Linked DNA regions of Alligator mississippiensis. The protein of the gene in region 1 purifies or fractionates together with the protein of each later gene. This does not show direct contact. Links are inferred from orthologs where the notes say so. Each region holds a gene or a part of one and is shown on either strand. Other genes may lie near its edges.

The links. The genes of interacting proteins can lie anywhere in the genome.
Region 2: the proteins of CEP290 (region 1) and IQCB1 purify together in Homo sapiens (co-immunoprecipitation; 8 studies listed by BioGRID and IntAct, counting the BioPlex papers as one, with this or other methods). This does not show direct contact. The link is inferred for Alligator mississippiensis from reciprocal best matches to the Homo sapiens genes CEP290 and IQCB1.

Annotation. Positions count from the first base shown.
Region 1 is NC_081827.1:84,380,693-84,388,711, forward strand, and holds the start of CEP290 (centrosomal protein of 290 kDa), read right to left. Parts: upstream 3,124-8,019; 5' UTR 3,025-3,123; intron 2,679-3,024; exon of another isoform or gene 2,498-2,678; intron 2,001-2,497; 5' UTR 1,935-2,000; intron 1-1,934. UniProt on the Homo sapiens protein: Involved in early and late steps in cilia formation. Its association with CCP110 is required for inhibition of primary cilia formation by CCP110.
Region 2 is NC_081827.1:247,142,506-247,150,448, reverse strand, and holds the start of IQCB1 (IQ calmodulin-binding motif-containing protein 1), read right to left. Parts: upstream 3,379-7,943; 5' UTR 3,300-3,378; intron 2,975-3,299; 5' UTR 2,801-2,974; intron 2,769-2,800; exon of another isoform or gene 2,664-2,768; intron 1-2,663. Other genes in the region: EAF2 (ELL-associated factor 2), read left to right, coding at 3,710-3,812. UniProt on the Homo sapiens protein: Involved in ciliogenesis. The function in an early step in cilia formation depends on its association with CEP290/NPHP6.

The DNA.
Region 1 (8,019 bases):
ATAATGATCATTACATTAAAGCTAAAACAATTGCCAAACGCAAGAAAGTGAATCACAGGAAACAATACAAGACTTTACACCTTCCAAGGGTGAACTGTTTCATTGGTTTACACTCTTCCCACATCTAGATTACTTTTGCAAGCATGAGGGATAGAAATGTTCTTTTCCTTTTAAATAAAATCTTGGATACTGCACAATATGAATGCATCACTGGGAGATATATATACAAGAACCAGATCAAGCACTACATTGATACCTCTGTCTTATCATCTGCTTCTCACAACCTGTTGACCAAAATCTATCATGAGGGTGCTATTAAGCATTAGAAGCAATACACCCACCCAAGTGTAAGTTTCTTTCTACTGCCTATAACCAGCCAGTCTACAACTAGGTACTGCAAAGTTTTTGTGTATTATTGGACATTATGTGAGGACCTGGAAAAGATTTTACATGAGGTAGAGATTAATTGTTTGCTACTGTTCATTGGCTGCTCCTACCCAGGCTGACAAAGTCCAAATAGAGCAATTAGATCCTACTACATATAAATAATTTACTTATTCTCCTTATGAAAATGGCTCTCACAGTTGGAAAAAAAAACAAGCAAGTCAGTTGCTGCTAGTTGACGTAGAAAATTAGAACAGATATTTTGTGCAAATTCTCAGATAGGACCTCTGTACAGTGCTGCAAGACCTTTGAGATCTTTTTCACCATTCATTTTACTAAAGTTGTGGGAAATTTCTGCACTATTAGAAACTGATTCACATTCCTCTGCATTAAATGAACCCTGGGTAGAGATTTGCCAACTTAAAACTTCCTGCCATTACCATCCTTCAAAAACTTTCCTATAATTGTCTGAACAGTCTGCCAGAAAAACTTCTCCAGCTGTGCAATTAAGCTGGGATACAAATCACTCATTTTCTTTGCCACCTCTCGGTTTACTAGGAGTTTTAAAAAATATGCAATATATGTATATGTATATATATGGAGAGAGAAACATAAACCGTTTGAGATTAAGAACAGACCAGCGTCTGTTCTCAGGCCAGCATTTACGCAGGTTATGCACTTATCCAAACTTTCATTTAAACTATCAATATTTAAGTACACAGTCCTGTTAGTGCTGTGGTATTAGCAGCCCGGAAAATGACTATCCTCCCATCATTTTAAAGACTTCTAATAGTCACTCTTGGAGTTATTAGAAATCATGAAAATGAGATGAGATGACAATCAAGGAAATAAATACCCCTCATCATTGTCAAAGCTTAATAGCTGGCCTTTGACAGCTGCTGCTCCTTCGCTGCACAACTAGGATATGAAGTAGAGTGGTTGAAAGATACACAGGCCTCTAACCATTTTATGCATCTAACTCATATGTGGATAAGAAGAGTCTGTTACCATACAAGCAGGTTGCAATTTTTTGCCTGTTAGCACATGTATCAATTATTTGCATATGGATTAAATGTATAAACCAGGTAGCTTCTACTACCTGCTGTGTAATATAATTTTAATCCATGTAAATACATAATATCTGCGACAGAAAGGCTGAAAGGAAACAGCTGTCAAAAAGCTGCCCTTAAAAGCCTTGAAACTGACCAGAGCATGCCAATTTCAGGGCTGCTTTTAAAAGCTTTAAAAATGTCCAGAAGCCAAGTCATTATCAGGACTGCTAATAGCCCTGTACAGTACTGAAAAAGACTGAGATAGGATATTGTGTTCTTAATGAGTGCTGCTTACACTGAGTTTGGGTAAGTTCATAAATCAGGAAAATACACAGCCTTTTTATGTTTCCAGACAGAAAGCTATGCATTTAAACAGAGTACATTATGATGTCTGATTTCCCAAGGAAGATGTGACAATATGCACATATTTCTGATCTAAAAATTCTCTAAATTAGGGTGAAACCACAGAAGGACCTCATGCAGAACACAACAAAATACCTTCTGAAATAGGAGAACAGGTCTGTTATTTGAGAGAAAAGATGACAAATGAAGACAAAAATATTCCTGGAAAAGAAAGAGATGATAACCCTGTCAGAATAAAAAGCAGAAAGAGAGCCTAAGACAACAAAAAGGCTAATGACATCAGTACAATGATTATAAGAGACACGAGATGTAATGACCTAGAACCCCAGCCCCTACTGTTCTGAACCTACTGTTCTGAAAGAGCTCATAAATCCTTCACATGTTTAACAGCCAGGAGGCATCCAGGAACCTAAGCACAGAATCATCTCCCCTCACCCAGCGCCCATCTGGGGCAGCACTTGAACCACACAACCTGCTGCCTGGAGGAGAAGAAATCAATGGATTTATTATTATTATTATTATTAATAATAATAATATATTTTGTGTTCCAGGTCAAATCAGCTAAATCAGTTCCAAATCATATTGACTGAGCAGAAGTCAAGCGCTCCAAAAACCGTATCAATGGAGCAGGCAGAATTCAATCTTTCTAAACACCATGTATGGTGCTACAACCAGCATTCTCAGCCCCAGGCTCTCACCCTGGGACTTCACATCCTCCCAAATCCACTGGCAGGTGTCCTAGTTGCAGGCCCAGGCCCGCAGGTCTTGGCATTCGGATGCCTGCAGATGCTACAGGAAATCATCCTTCCTCCCAGACTCTTTAGTCCGGGACTTCAGATACTTCCCACACCTGGTCTTAGTGTGTAGTTTAAGTGACAACTGCTCTGACAGGAAAAAATGGACTTTCCCACCCACCCTCCTCGCCCCTGCACCGGCCCGTGCGCTCTACACGGAGCGAGAAAGACCTCGCAGGTCCGGGGAGCGAGATGAGCTCCACCGCTGCCCATCTCTCGGAGCCGGACACCCAGGCAGGCGACTCCTCTGACCCTTGCAGCAGCAGGCCCCGAGCAGCTGGAGCACCCCCGGCCGGGCACCCCCGAAATTGGCCGCGCCCACACGCCTCCTCCTGCCCCTCCGCGCGCTGGGAACCCCCCACTAGAGCGACGCTCTCCCCCGCCCAGCGGCACCCGAGGGACGCCCTGGCCTGGCCCAACCCGGCCCTCACTTGTCGCCCCGGGCCCTACGGGAAGCGGCGGCCGCTGCTAGGCGACGCCATCCACCAGCCCCGCTGCTTCCGAGCCCCGGATGGACGCTCGGCCAAGGCCAAGCCTACAAGCCCCAAGGTGCACGGCGGCACCAGGCTTGGAACGTGAGGCGCCGCTCGTTAGAGACAGCTGTGCCGCGGGCGAGACGAGCGAACTACCGCTCCCAGCATGCCCCGCCACCTGCCGGCAACTACGATTCCCGGCTGCGCACTACACCCGGCATCCTCCGCGGCTGGTGGGGAGGGAGGGAGATGGTGCGCACGCGCATTGCAGAAGGGAGTCACCGCCTCAGGCTCGGCGGCAGCGGCGGGGCTGGGGACATGGAGCCTCGCGGCTGGGAGGCAGTGTTAGCCTGCGGCGCCAGGTCTGGAGCGGCCCGGACGGGACGGGACGGGGCGGGGCGGGGCGGGGGCGCGGAGCTCGTTTCCGAGCTGGTGCTGCCTGCGCTGCTCCCGGGAGCTGAGGCCGGCCCCTCCCCCGGGGCGGGGTCGGGATGCGGCGCCTCGGGGCGGGCGGCCGGGGCCGGGGGCACCTTCGACAAGAGTGCGAGGCCCAGGCGGAGCTGCCCGGGGCTGCGGCGAGGCGCAGGGTGAGCAGAGCCGGAGCAACGAGCTGTCAAAAAGAAAAGGGCACGAGGTCTCCCGCGTGAGGCCAGGAGCTGCTGAGGGCCGGGGGCCAGGAAGGCGCGCTGCGCCGGGGGCCCTCGTGGCTTTCTCTGAAGCCCCTGGGGCTTGGCGTCGCCTGCCGGACTGATGAGATGCCAGGCACGGCGGCCCCGGCCCTCATAGCAGAGGTGCAAAGCTGCCTCTCCCTGTGAGCGCCTCTTGGGGCCCGGTGGTGCCTGTAGGGCCCTGGGTCTATCCGTGCACCTGGGATGGTCAGGGCATCGGGGCAGAGCACAGGAGATAAAGGGGTATAAAGCCCATCTTCGTGTCCGCGCCCCGCAGAACGGATTTGGTTACGAGTCTGAGAAGCTTTTCAAATCGCCAGTGAGAAGTTGAAAACCACGCGGAGGTGGACATTACCAGATGGGGTTGGAAACGCTCAGCTCTGTAGTTTTGGGGGCAGTCACAGTACACTCTGTTTTCACAGAGGTGCGAAAAAATGCTGAGCAAAAAATGTGTCTAATGTAGCAATGTTTTAAGTATGTAAATGGTTAAACAACAATTTTATTTATACCGTTTACTGTTTAGAAACCTCCAGCAGGAGCAGCCTTGGCCTATGCCCCTTGTGTCTTCACCATACAAGCAGCTCTGCGTGGGCCCCAGGCCACTGGCAGGGAGCTGTGGGTGGGGGATAGTGGTGTGGCTGAGCCATTTGGGGGTGCAGCCCAGCTGTGGAGCTGCGGCTCCTTCTCACCATCGTGGGCTGGGGCTGTGGACAGAGCCGGGGCTGCGGACCTCTCCTGTGCCTGGATCCCACCACCTCAGGGAAGCAGGGAGGTGCTGGGTCCCCCCACATGGGTCAGGCGGGGCCTTCCCATCCCTGTGATGGGTTTGTCGCCCCCTCATCTCCAGCAACAAGGTCCAGGTAGGGTGACAGGGTCCTGTGCCTTCTGCCGCACTTATGCCACTGTGGCCTGGACCTGAAAGGGCTGCTAAGAGGTCATTGCTGGCCCCTCGCATGGTGAGCACAGCCTTATGGCATTCTTTTGGAGCAGCAGGGATCCCAGGGGGAGTGTTAGGGCTGAAACAGCAGCCTCCTAGGCTGGAGCTCATGAATGCTGTGGGGCTAAGATCACCGCTCAAGGAACTAGCCTCAATCCCCTCTCTAACCTGGAGCTGCCTGCTACAGCTGCCATGGTGCCTCTTTAGGCCATGCCAGCCCTGCCTCAGGGCTGGGCCAGGCCCCAGGTAGCCCCATTGCCACAGACAAGAAGGGGAAGGACATAGTGCACCTGGCAGAGGCCACCCCACTGGGTCTGGACCTCATCTTCCCCCAGGGCAAGCTGGGGAGGGCTTGACCCAGCAGCACAGAGACTTCCAGGTCCAGATCAAGGTGGGACAAGCTCAAGGAATCTGTTACCTTGCCTGGGCCCCGCTGCTATAAGGGGCCTGGGAAGACCCTCCATGGAACTAGGAGTCTTGCTGCTGTGATGGGAAGGCTCCCCTGTGGGGGAGCCCAGCACCTTCCTCTGTTCTTTCCTCCCTGTGGCATGAGGATTTGGACACGAGGAATCTGCAGCTCCAGCCTTGAGGGCTGCGGTTCTGCAGCTGGGCAGCACCCCTTAGTGGTTTGGCTACACCTGCTGCCTCCAACCCATGGCTTCCTGCCAGAGGTCACTACACTTTGAGTTAACTGTTTAACCAATATAATTTGAGGAGATTAAATGGATAACTTTTAAAACAATATTTATATTTACATTCCTGATTTAAAGGCTGTGTTTCTCTCAGCTGTTCAGTCTATCCCACAGATGACCCTACCTGTTAGTATCATCCTGATGTAGTCTTTTTGCCTAATGCTGTTCTGCTACTTGAGGGTCTGGTGCTGTAATAGCACCTGGATAAGACAGGGAGATAAGAGAACTTCATGGGTGTTTGCTCTTCATTATGGAATTAAATTCAAAGTAAATATTCTGGAGTAATTGCATTGTGTGTCTGAAGCTTTACTCTTCTGTTACTTTTCTTAGCTCAACATTTTAGTTGAGTAAAATGTGAAGATGATGATGAGGGTTTTTCTGAAACATTTCTAGGGAAATAAAGAAAGAAGGTTAAGGCAGGGTGGCATTTTGTTACACTGTAAAGAAGCTGTATAACTGGCAGCCTGAGGTGTTAACATGCAGGTTGCAGGCTTCTTTCTGTCCAGCCAACGCTCCCTACTTCACTACCACCCTATTGCTCCTGCAGTGGCAGCCAGGGTCTCTGGGCTCTATCTCCCTCCTCCAGTTTCCACTTTCTGCTCCTGGTCCTTGGGGCAGGGTGGCACAGCACAAGGAGGTCATGGTACCCATGCTATGCACATAGCAAAGGGGATGGAACTCTCGGCTGTCTGTGCTGCATCTTAGGCTGTCTTCCCATTGTGCATGGAGGGAGGGGAGGAAAGGGTGTTGCATGCATGATGGTGGGGGATCTGCTCTGCATACTTTGTAGGGATGGGCTGCCTGTGTGGTGTGCATGGCAAGAAGTTGAGAGTGCTGTGTGTAGTAGTGGGGAGGGAGGAGTCAGGTCTGCTGTTCCCAGTTGTCCAGAAATTGGACAGCCCTAGTCTTTAAAGTGCCACCCTGCCTTGCCTTCTGCCAAATTCCAGACTACCAGGACCATCTCTAGAGAAAGAAAGATGTGCTGGGGACAGATTCCTCCCCCCACTTCCTGCACTTTCTAAGAAGGTGGTCACCTTCTCACACCCTTCTCTACAACTATTGCTCAGCAGTGGAATATTGGTTGTCTCCTTTGACAGCTGGTTCTTTGTCAAAGGATTTCTTATCCCATGCAAGCAGATGCAGCTAGGTAAGGAGAGAGGCTGTGCTGCTGTGCCCCCTCTTTGGATGCTCCAGAAATGACCTCATCTTCCATGCTATTCTTAGACAGAGATCCAAATATTGGTTGCTCATTGAAGTTGTTTGAGGTTGCAACTGCTAGTGATAGTGATTCTTGGAAGAAGATAAATCTGGAGGTGTATTCTGGGCAGGGAGGGAGAGCAAATAATACATTCAGTTTGTTATTCACAGTTTCAGTTCTGACTTCAGATAGTGGACTAGTGACATTATTTCTTGCAGCTTTTACCTAAGGAGGGTGATCTGACTTAAGGGGTAATTAAGTAGGGGAGTTCAGACGAACAGGGGATCCTGAACAAAGGCAGGTACTTGAAGTGATGGGTGTGTCAGCTCTGGCAAGGTACTGGCTCTATTAGTGCAGTACTTCCATGTGGGTGCTCTGTTGCTTCAGCCTGCAGTAATTGGAACAATCTTGTTTATCAATACAAAATCCAAAGCAATGCATTTCTCTCTGGCCTTTTCCTCTTGAATCATTCTTGTGTGTGGTCACAAAATGTATGCTATTTCAGTTAGTTAAGGGTAACCAGTTGTTACTACAGTAAATTTCCTCCGGGTAGATGAGGCATGGCTGTGCCCAAACTTGTTCAGGGTATGCCCCTGCACCCACTTGGAGCAGTACTGTAGTTCTACATTTCTAGTTTAGTATCTACATAAATGCTCATTCATACATTGGTTGTTTTCAGAAATACAAAACTCTAGAACTCTTGGTTCAGAGATGATACCTTTTATTAGACCAGTTAAGAAATCACAAAAAAATTATGTATTTTTCTGCAAGCTTTTGGGCACATACGCCTTTCCTCAGGCTTAGGGAAAATTGAAGATGGTAAAATTCCCCATAGTAGAAAATAAACTTCATTTTTGTACAGCGGAAGCTCAAGGTGGAAATCTGTTCCTCTGGGTTCAGGAGGGTGTTGGTTGTTTTCAGTGCTTTTCAAGTGAATACTTTATTCTTATGCAACTAGAATGCTTTAGTTTCAGGTTGGTTAATTACTATAAGATAACACACTAAGCTTCTAAGATTTACATAGAAATTACAGTTCATATTGTACAGTAATGCATGAGTCAACGTAGTTACTTTAGGTCCCCACCACTTAGTCATCTGCAGGGAATGGTATTCTTCAGCTATACAATCTGCTTGTAACACAGTGATAATACCTTATGTGATGAGCTTATTTTACTAACAATGGTTACTTAACAAAAGTGGGGAATTGAGCTGCCCACAGATTATCAAAATAATAATAAAAGTCTATCTCTGTAGGAATCCTTACAAAAAACTGCTGAGGTTGAGGGAGTTCAGCTTTTTGCAGCATTTAACATTATTGATGCTGGTTTATTATTAATGTTTTCAGTTGAAAGCTTTTGAAAGAAATCAAAAGATTAGGAAGTATTGGAGCCGTTGAATATTGATGAGATGCTAATTTTGTGTAATATTTTTCAAGAGTATAACATTAGCATGAGAATC
Region 2 (7,943 bases), about 160 Mb from region 1:
CCCCGCTTCACCTGCGGCAGGTCACGGCGCTATGTCTCGTGTTGCGTCAGGGCTGACGGTCACCTCAGCCAGAGTTTACCCGATTCATAGATGTTAGGGTCGGAAGGGACCTCAATAGATTGAGTCCGACCCCCTACATAAGCAGGAAAGAGTGCTGGGTCTAGATGACCCCAGCTAGATGCTCATCCAACCTCCTCTTGAAGACCCCCAGGGTAGGGGAGAGCACCACCTCCCTTGGGAGCCCGTTCCAGACCTTGGCCACTCGAACTGGGAAGAAGTTCTTCCTAATGTCCAGTCTAAATCTGCTCTCTGCTAGCTTGTGGCCATTGTTTCTTGTAACCCCCGGGGGCGCCTTGGTGAATAAATCCTCACCAATTCCCTTCTGTGCCCCCGTGATGAACTTATAGGCAGCCACAAGGTCGCCTCTCAACCTTCTCTTGCGGAGGCTGAAAAGGTCCAGTTTCTCTAGTCTCTCCTCGTAGGGCTTGGTCTGCAGGCCCTTGACCATACGAGCTTCCCTTCTCTGGACCCTCTCCAGGTTATCCGCATCCTTCTTGAATTGCGGCGCCCAGAATTGCACGCAGTACTCCAACTGCGGTCTGACCAGCGCCCGATAGAGGGGAAGTATCACCTCCTTGGATGTATTCGTCATGCATCTGCTGATGCACGATAAAGTGCCATTGGCTTTTCTGATGGCTTCGTCACACTGCCGGCTCATGTTCATCTTGGAGTCCACTAGGACTCCCAGATCCCTTTCCACCTCTGTGCCACCCAGCAGGTCATTCCCTAGGCTGTAGGTGTGCTGGACATTTCTCCTCCCTAGGTGCAGCACTTTGCATTTCTCCTTGTTGAACTGCATCCTGTTGTTTTCTGCCCACTTGTCCAACCTGTCCAGGTCTGCTTGCAGCTGTTCCCTGCCCCCCGGCGTGTCCACTTCTCCCCATAGCTTTGTGTCATCTGCAAACTTGGACAGAGTACATTTCACTCCCTCGTCCAAGTTGCTGATGAAGACATTAAAGAGTATCGGTCCAAGGACCGAGCCCTGCGGGACCCCACTGCCCACACCCTTCCAGGTCGAGACCGACCCATCCACCACGACTCTTTGGGTGCGACCCTCTAGCCAATTCGCCACCCACCGGACTGTGCAGTCATCCACATCACAGCCTCTTAACTTGTTCACCAGTATGGGGTGGGATACCGTATCGAAGGCCTTCCTGAAGTCTAAGTATACGACATCCACCCCTCCTCCTGTGTCCACGCGTTTCGTAACGTGGTCATAAAAAGAGACTAGATTGGTCAGGCACGATCTGCCCGCCACAAACCCGTGCTGATTTCCCCTCAGCATAATTTGTCCTGCCGGGCTCTCGCAAATGTGAGCCTTGATAATTTTTTCAAAGACTTTGCCAAGGATGGAGGTGAGACTGACTGGCCTATAGTTGCCCTCACCTTTTTGAAAATGGGGACCACACTGGCCCTTTTCCAGTCCTCCGGGACTTGGCCCATGTGCCACGAGTGTTCAAATATTCCCGCCAGTGGCTCTGCATTGATGTCGGCCAGTGCCTTCAGCACCCTCAGATGGAGCTCATCCGGGCCTGCCGACTTAAAGGCATCCAGTTCTTCCAAATGACTCTGCACCACCTCAGGGTCTATGCATGGTAGTCTGGCGCCTTGCTGCTCCCTCTGTACAACCCCAGTGAGAGACTTGTCGTGCCCCTCGCTTAGGAACACTGAGGCAAAGAACTCGTTGAGGAGTTCAGCCTTGTCCTCCCTGTCTGTCACCAATTGCTTCTGCCCATTTAGCAGGGGTCCTATTCCTCCCTGGGCCTTCCTTTTACTCCCTATATATCTAAAAAACAATTTCTTGTTGTCTTTTACTTGGGTTGCCATCCTCAGCTCCATGATAGCTTTGGCCCGTCTAACTGCCTCCCTGCATGCACGAGCAGAGGAGGTATATTCATCTTTGGTGATCTGTTCCTGTTTCCACTTTTTATGTGCTCGCCTTTTGTCCCGTAGGCTGCCCTGGATTTCTCTGGTCAGCCAGGGAAGCCTCCTGGCCCCTTTCCCTCTTTTGCCTCGCTCGGGGATCGTCTTGCTTTGTGCCTGAAGGATCGTTTCCTTAAGGCACAGCCACCCTTCTTGGGCTCCCATCACTTCAAATCTCCTACTCTGCAGTGCTTCCTTGACTAATCGCCTGAGTTCACTAAGATCATCTTTCCTGAAGTCTAGCACTTTCACCCTACTAGTTACCTTACCCACTCGCCGTCTTATGGTGTATTCTATTATTAGGTGATCACTGTCCCCCAGATGGCTACCGATCTGGATGTCCGCTACCATGTCATCCCGTTGCCAATACCAGATCCAGTATGGCATTCCCCCTAGTGGGACCGTGCACCTCCTGTGTCAGGTGGAGGTCCTGTACACAGGTTAGAAACCTGCGTGAGCGGTGGGACCTTGCTGTCTGCGTCTCCCAGCAGATGTCCGGGTAGTTTAGGTCCCCCATGACTACCGCCTCCTTAGCTTTTATGGTCTCCGAGAGTTGCCTCAGGAGCCCTGAATCTCTTTCTTCCCCTTGATGTGGGGGTCTGTAGCAGACCCCTACCACCAAATCCCTTTCTCCTTGCCCCCCATGTAGCCTAACCCTGATGGATGGTGTAGGATCCTACCTCGGGCCAGGGCTGGACCAGACCGCGGAGGTCCTTCACAGCCCCACAGATCTCTGCGCAAAACGCGGCTCGCGGGAACTGCAGTGTCAGCCTCTCGCTCCCTTTCTTCGCCCCCTCAGTCCTGGAGGAAAACGTACCCCGCTTCCTGGCTCCGGCCCCCTCCCCAGGGCCGCAGGTCTCCGCCGTGGCCTCTCCGGGACGGTCTCCGCCCGTGCGGGCAGCAGGGCGCTACAGCGTGCGGGCCAACAGGTCGGGCCCCATCCCGGGCAGGGCGCGAGCCAGCGCACAGCAAGGCGGGCGTCTGCAGGGCGCTGTCGGGGGAGAAGAGAAGTGTGAAGACGCCTGCGCTTTGCACCAAGCCAGCAGCACCGCCCCACGCTCGCCCGCAGCCCCCCTCCCAGGCCTGCACCCCAGCTCCATGCAGGCAGGGCCCCTCCCCCACCCCAGACTACCAGGGCCCCTCCCCCTTTCCCAGGTTAGCAGGGCCCCTTCCCCACCTTTGCCCCTCAGGTTAGCAGGCCCCTCCCATTGCAAGGCCCCTCCCCCACCTTTGCTCCCCCACTAGCAGGCCCCTCCCCCTCACCTTTACCCGAGCCCACTGCCAGGCCCCTCCCCCCCACTAGGAGGCCCCCCTACCTCAGGTTATCGGCTCCCACCCCCCACTAGCAGGCCCCTCCCCCCGCGGACCGAGGTGGCCTCACTTCCTCCGAACGGCTCCGTATGCATATGACCCCCCCCTTACGTCACGTCTGCTTCAGCCAACCGGCGGCTCAGCCCCTGGGGTACATTTGCATACCGGCCCATCCCAAAATTTGCATGCAGGCTCCTCCCCCCCGCTGCCCGGAGTGACGAGAGCGCGGGCGAGGCTAGGAAGCGGCAGCCAATAGGAGCGCCGGGTGGGAGGGATTCGCCCCAATGAGAGCCACGCCCCTGCCAGAGGGGCGGGGCGGGCGTGGCTTGCTGCGGCCCCGCCCCCGGCGCCAGGGCTGTTTGGCGGCGGGGGCTGCCCGGGCCGGCCATGGTGTGAGGCGCGCGGCGGGGCCGCGATGAACGGGGCGGCTCCCCCGCTCTTCGACCCCAAGGAGCGCGTGCTCAAGCTGGGCGAGAGCTTCGAGAAGCAGCCGCGCTGCGCCTTCCACACCGTGCGCTGTGAGCGGGGGGGGCCGCGCCGGACGGGTCCATGTGGGGTGCGGGGGGAGAGTCGGGAGGACGGGTCCATGTGTTGGGTGCGGAGGCGGGGACGGGTCCATGTGGGGGAGTGGACGGTCCCATGTGGGGTGCAGGGGGGGAGTCGTGGGGACGGTCCCATGTGGGATGCGAGGGGGGGGGGGAAAGCCGTGGGGACGGTCCCATGTGGGGTGCGGGGGGGGGGGAGAGCTGTGGGGATGGGTCCATGTGGGGTGCGGGGGGGGGGAAGCTGTGGGGACGGTCCCATGTGGGGTGCAGGGGGGGGAGTCGTGGGGACGGTCCCATGTGGGATGCGAGGGGGGGGGGAAAGCCGTGGGGACGGTCCCATGTGGGGTGCGGGGGGGGGGGGGAGAGCTGTGGGGATGGGTCCATGTGGGGTGCGGGGGGGGGGAAGCTGTGGGGACGGTCCCATGTGGGGTGCAGGGGGGGGGAGAGCTGTGGGGACGGTCCCATGTGGGGTGCGGGGGGGGGGAGAGCTGTGGGGACGGTCCCATGTGGGGTGCGGGGGGAGGAAGCTGTGGGGACGGTCCCATGTGGGGTGCAGGGGGGGGAGCTGTGGGGACGGTCCCATGTGGGGTGCAGGGGGGGGGGAGCTGTGGGGACGGTCCCATGTGGGGAGCGGGGGGGGGGGGGAGGGAGAGCTGTGGGGACGGGTCCATGTGGGGTGCAAGGGGGGGAGAGCTGTGGGGACGAGTCCATGTGGGTGCAGGGGGGGGGAGAGCTATGGGGACGGGTCCATTTGGGGTGCAGGGGGGGAGCTGTGGGGATGGTCCCATGTGGGGTGCGGGGGGGGAGAGAGAGCTGTGGGGACGGGTCCATGTGGGGTGCAGGGGGGGGGAGAGCTGTGGGGACGAGTCCATGTGGGTGCAGGGGGGGGGGAGAGCTATGGGGACGGGTCCATTTGGGGTGCAGGGGGGGGAGCTGTGGGGTCGGGTCCATGTGGGGTGTGGGGGGGGGGAGCTGTGGGGATGGGTCCATGTGGGGTGCGGGGGGGGGGAGAGCTATGGGGACAGGTCCATGTGGGGTGCAGGGGGAGCTGTGGGGACGGTCCCATGTGGGGTGCAGGGGGGGGAGCTGTGGGGACGGGTCCATGTGGGGTGCTGGGGGAGAGCCGTGGGGACGGGTCCATGTGGGGTGTGGGGGGGAGCTGTGGGGATGGGGGGGGTGCTGAGCATTGCATAGCGGATGAGGCCATGTAGGGTGGGGGGTCTGTTTGGGTGGGGGGGTTCTGTGGGGATGGGGTGGACTCTGTCCAGGCCCCTTGGGGAGGCAGGTGCTCTGCTGCACCCTGCCCCACGATGGCGGGTGTCTGGAAGGGGCCGGGTCCCATGGGGGCGATGGGCCGTTCTGTGCTCTGGCTTGGGATGGGCTCCTTGGCCCCCGGCCCCTGCTCTTGGACTCCACCAGCGCTAGGGGAGTCCCCCCAGGCTGGCGTTGCCTCTGGGTGGACGTGAACGTGTTGTGCGCAAAGCTAAAGTCCGCTTTGCAGATCCTGCATGGCGCGGTTGGCAGGCACAGGGGTGATGGTGACAAGGGCTGGGCTGTGTAACCTGCAGGGGGGCGGGGGGGCTCCCCAGGCTTTTGTTTCCTGCCATGACCTTAGTGTGAGAGGGGGAGGCTGTGGTCAGTGAGGGCGGTGTCAGGGTAGAGCAAGTGGGGGTCACAGGAGAGCAGGCCTCTGAACAAGGAGCAGGGGAAGGTGATGGGGAGGTGAGCACAAGGGGTCTCTGACTGCACCTGTGGGAGGGCTGGGCTGATCCTGCATGGAGACGTACGGGGCAGAGGGCTGGGCTGGGGACTGGAATCAAATGTGGCAACACTACTACTCTGATGGTGTTGCAATAGCATCTAGCAAGGCCTTCCCGAGGCAGGTCCCATGGAGACTGCGAGGAAGAAACAGTTTCTGAAAAGTTTTTAAACAGACCCCTCGGAGGAAGCATGAGAGAGAGATGTCGTAAAAAACATGAGTATTTGGGCCCCGACAGATTAAGTTGCTTGCCTGCGTTCATGTAGAGAGTCTGAGGCAGAGCTGGAAATTGAACCCAGGTTGCTTATGTCCTCGTGCGCTCTTCAACACAAGACTGTGTGGTTCAGAGCAGGTTGCAGCTGCTGGAGAGAGATTTGAAACCAAACTAATGAGCAGGTGTGTTGCTGGTGAAGTTAACACTCTGCTGCCATACGTCACTTAGCACTTCTTTGTGGGTACTAAATGCATCGGCTCTGCCCTGGGATATGTTTTAAGAAACAGCGGTGTCTTACTTATCCTAATGCTGTGAACTTCTGAGTTTGGGCTGAAGTTGTGTTTGCTCTTTGTGCTTGGCCTCTGCAGGTCTCTAAATACACATTCAACAATCAAAGGTTAAAGGCAGTATTAATCTCAAAGCTAGCATTTGCTCCCTGAGTACATAATAGCTACTATCCTGGGAGGTGTGTTTTCAGCGATTCTGCAGGTATCTAGGAGACAAATGCTGTTAGGATTATGGTTCTGGTAATTTAGGGCTGCTGTTTCTGTTTTGATGGCTCATTATTTTTAGAGTGATCCCCACGGTTCAGTACCTCCGAGAATGCCCTCTGTGCTTCATGCAGTGGGGTGGATAATGTCTGCTCTGAGCAAACGAATCGCACTTCAAATTGTCCACAGCTGGATGGGGGGGAACGCAAAACTTGTACGTGGATTTACATGGCTGCTCTAACTCTTTTTTTTGTTTTGTTTTAAGAACTGAACAATTTGCAAATGTTTCTGGTCTTGCACCAGCCCTTAAATTTCCTGTTGGATAAATATAAATTGTAAAGCTACAGAATCTACTTCAAAAGTTTTTCTCCTGTGTTGCTCTGAAGAAAGGTTGAAATTCAGCTAAATTTGCATATCTGATAGCACTGTCAAGAGAGAGGCTTCTTTTTTTTTAATCTTTTTACTAGTAATATTAGTTGGGGCTACAAATAGTTGAACTGTCTGACAACTTCAGAAATTGGCACCAAAAGTTGACGCTGCAAAGTCAATATTTGAAGACCTGTTTCAGTGTCCTGATCTTACAAAGTGCTAAGGATCCTGCAGCTCTCTCATGGGAATGGTTTCCCATTCCTGCCATAGGAGCTCCATTAGCAGTACCTTACTGAGCTAGGTGCTGATTAGACCTCTGAGACAGAGCCTGCTGCAGTGCAGATATTACCTGGGTTTTAATCCAAACACTTTTATCTACAGTACACCCTCCCATTTCCTTGAATTGAGGCCTGCTGGCTGGTGATGGAGGCTTTTGCTGTAAAATACGTACAGTCACATCCCCTTTGCAGTGTGCATACAACTAAAGCCTGGATTTTGATCGTCTTTTGTTGCCACACTGTGGTTCCCAAGGCCTGGGTGTTGCTATCCTTGGATCCATTCACCATCTGCCCTCTACCTACTAAAAACTCTCTGCTTATTTAGCTCCTTGGAAACAGCAGTTGTTACTTTCCCAGCCTGCTTTAAGTGATGCTTTTGGCAAGATGGACAACTCCGGTAATGCTAGTGCAAAAAAGTTTGGCAAACTTTATGTTCATCTGCATGTTTCAAAGAGTTGGCAAATTAAAGAGCAGCAATTCATACTGGCCAAAGAGTTAGAAACAAATGTGATGGCAGTAGGCTTCAAAGAATGACAAAATGGAATTGCAGTGAGGATATCATGGTGGCTTTTTCTAATTCCATTTTAACAGGAATTTAAAAGCTTATTTATGTTGAGAAAAAACTAAAATCCTTGCTCTGGCACATGGCTTTTCCTTTGCTGTTACAATTGGAAGAGCAGCAACCACAGCTATCCTCAAGGCTGCTTATGGATTTCTGTTTTAACCCCCTTCCCCTGTTTTTCAGTTGCTTGCAACTACCTGCAGCTTCCAGTTCGAGCTGAAATTATCAGGGATTTTCTTTTCCAATAAATAATTGTATGGGTCATTTTTTTTCTTTTAATCATAATCAAAACCAGTTAAGCTACATCTTCAATGGGAAGCCTTCTATGTGGTATTTAAAAATCCTCTTTTGAAAAGACTTGGCATCAGGACATGTTAAGACCTAGGTTGAATACCAATAAAACAGTCTTGGCTTTCAGCTCTATTAGCATG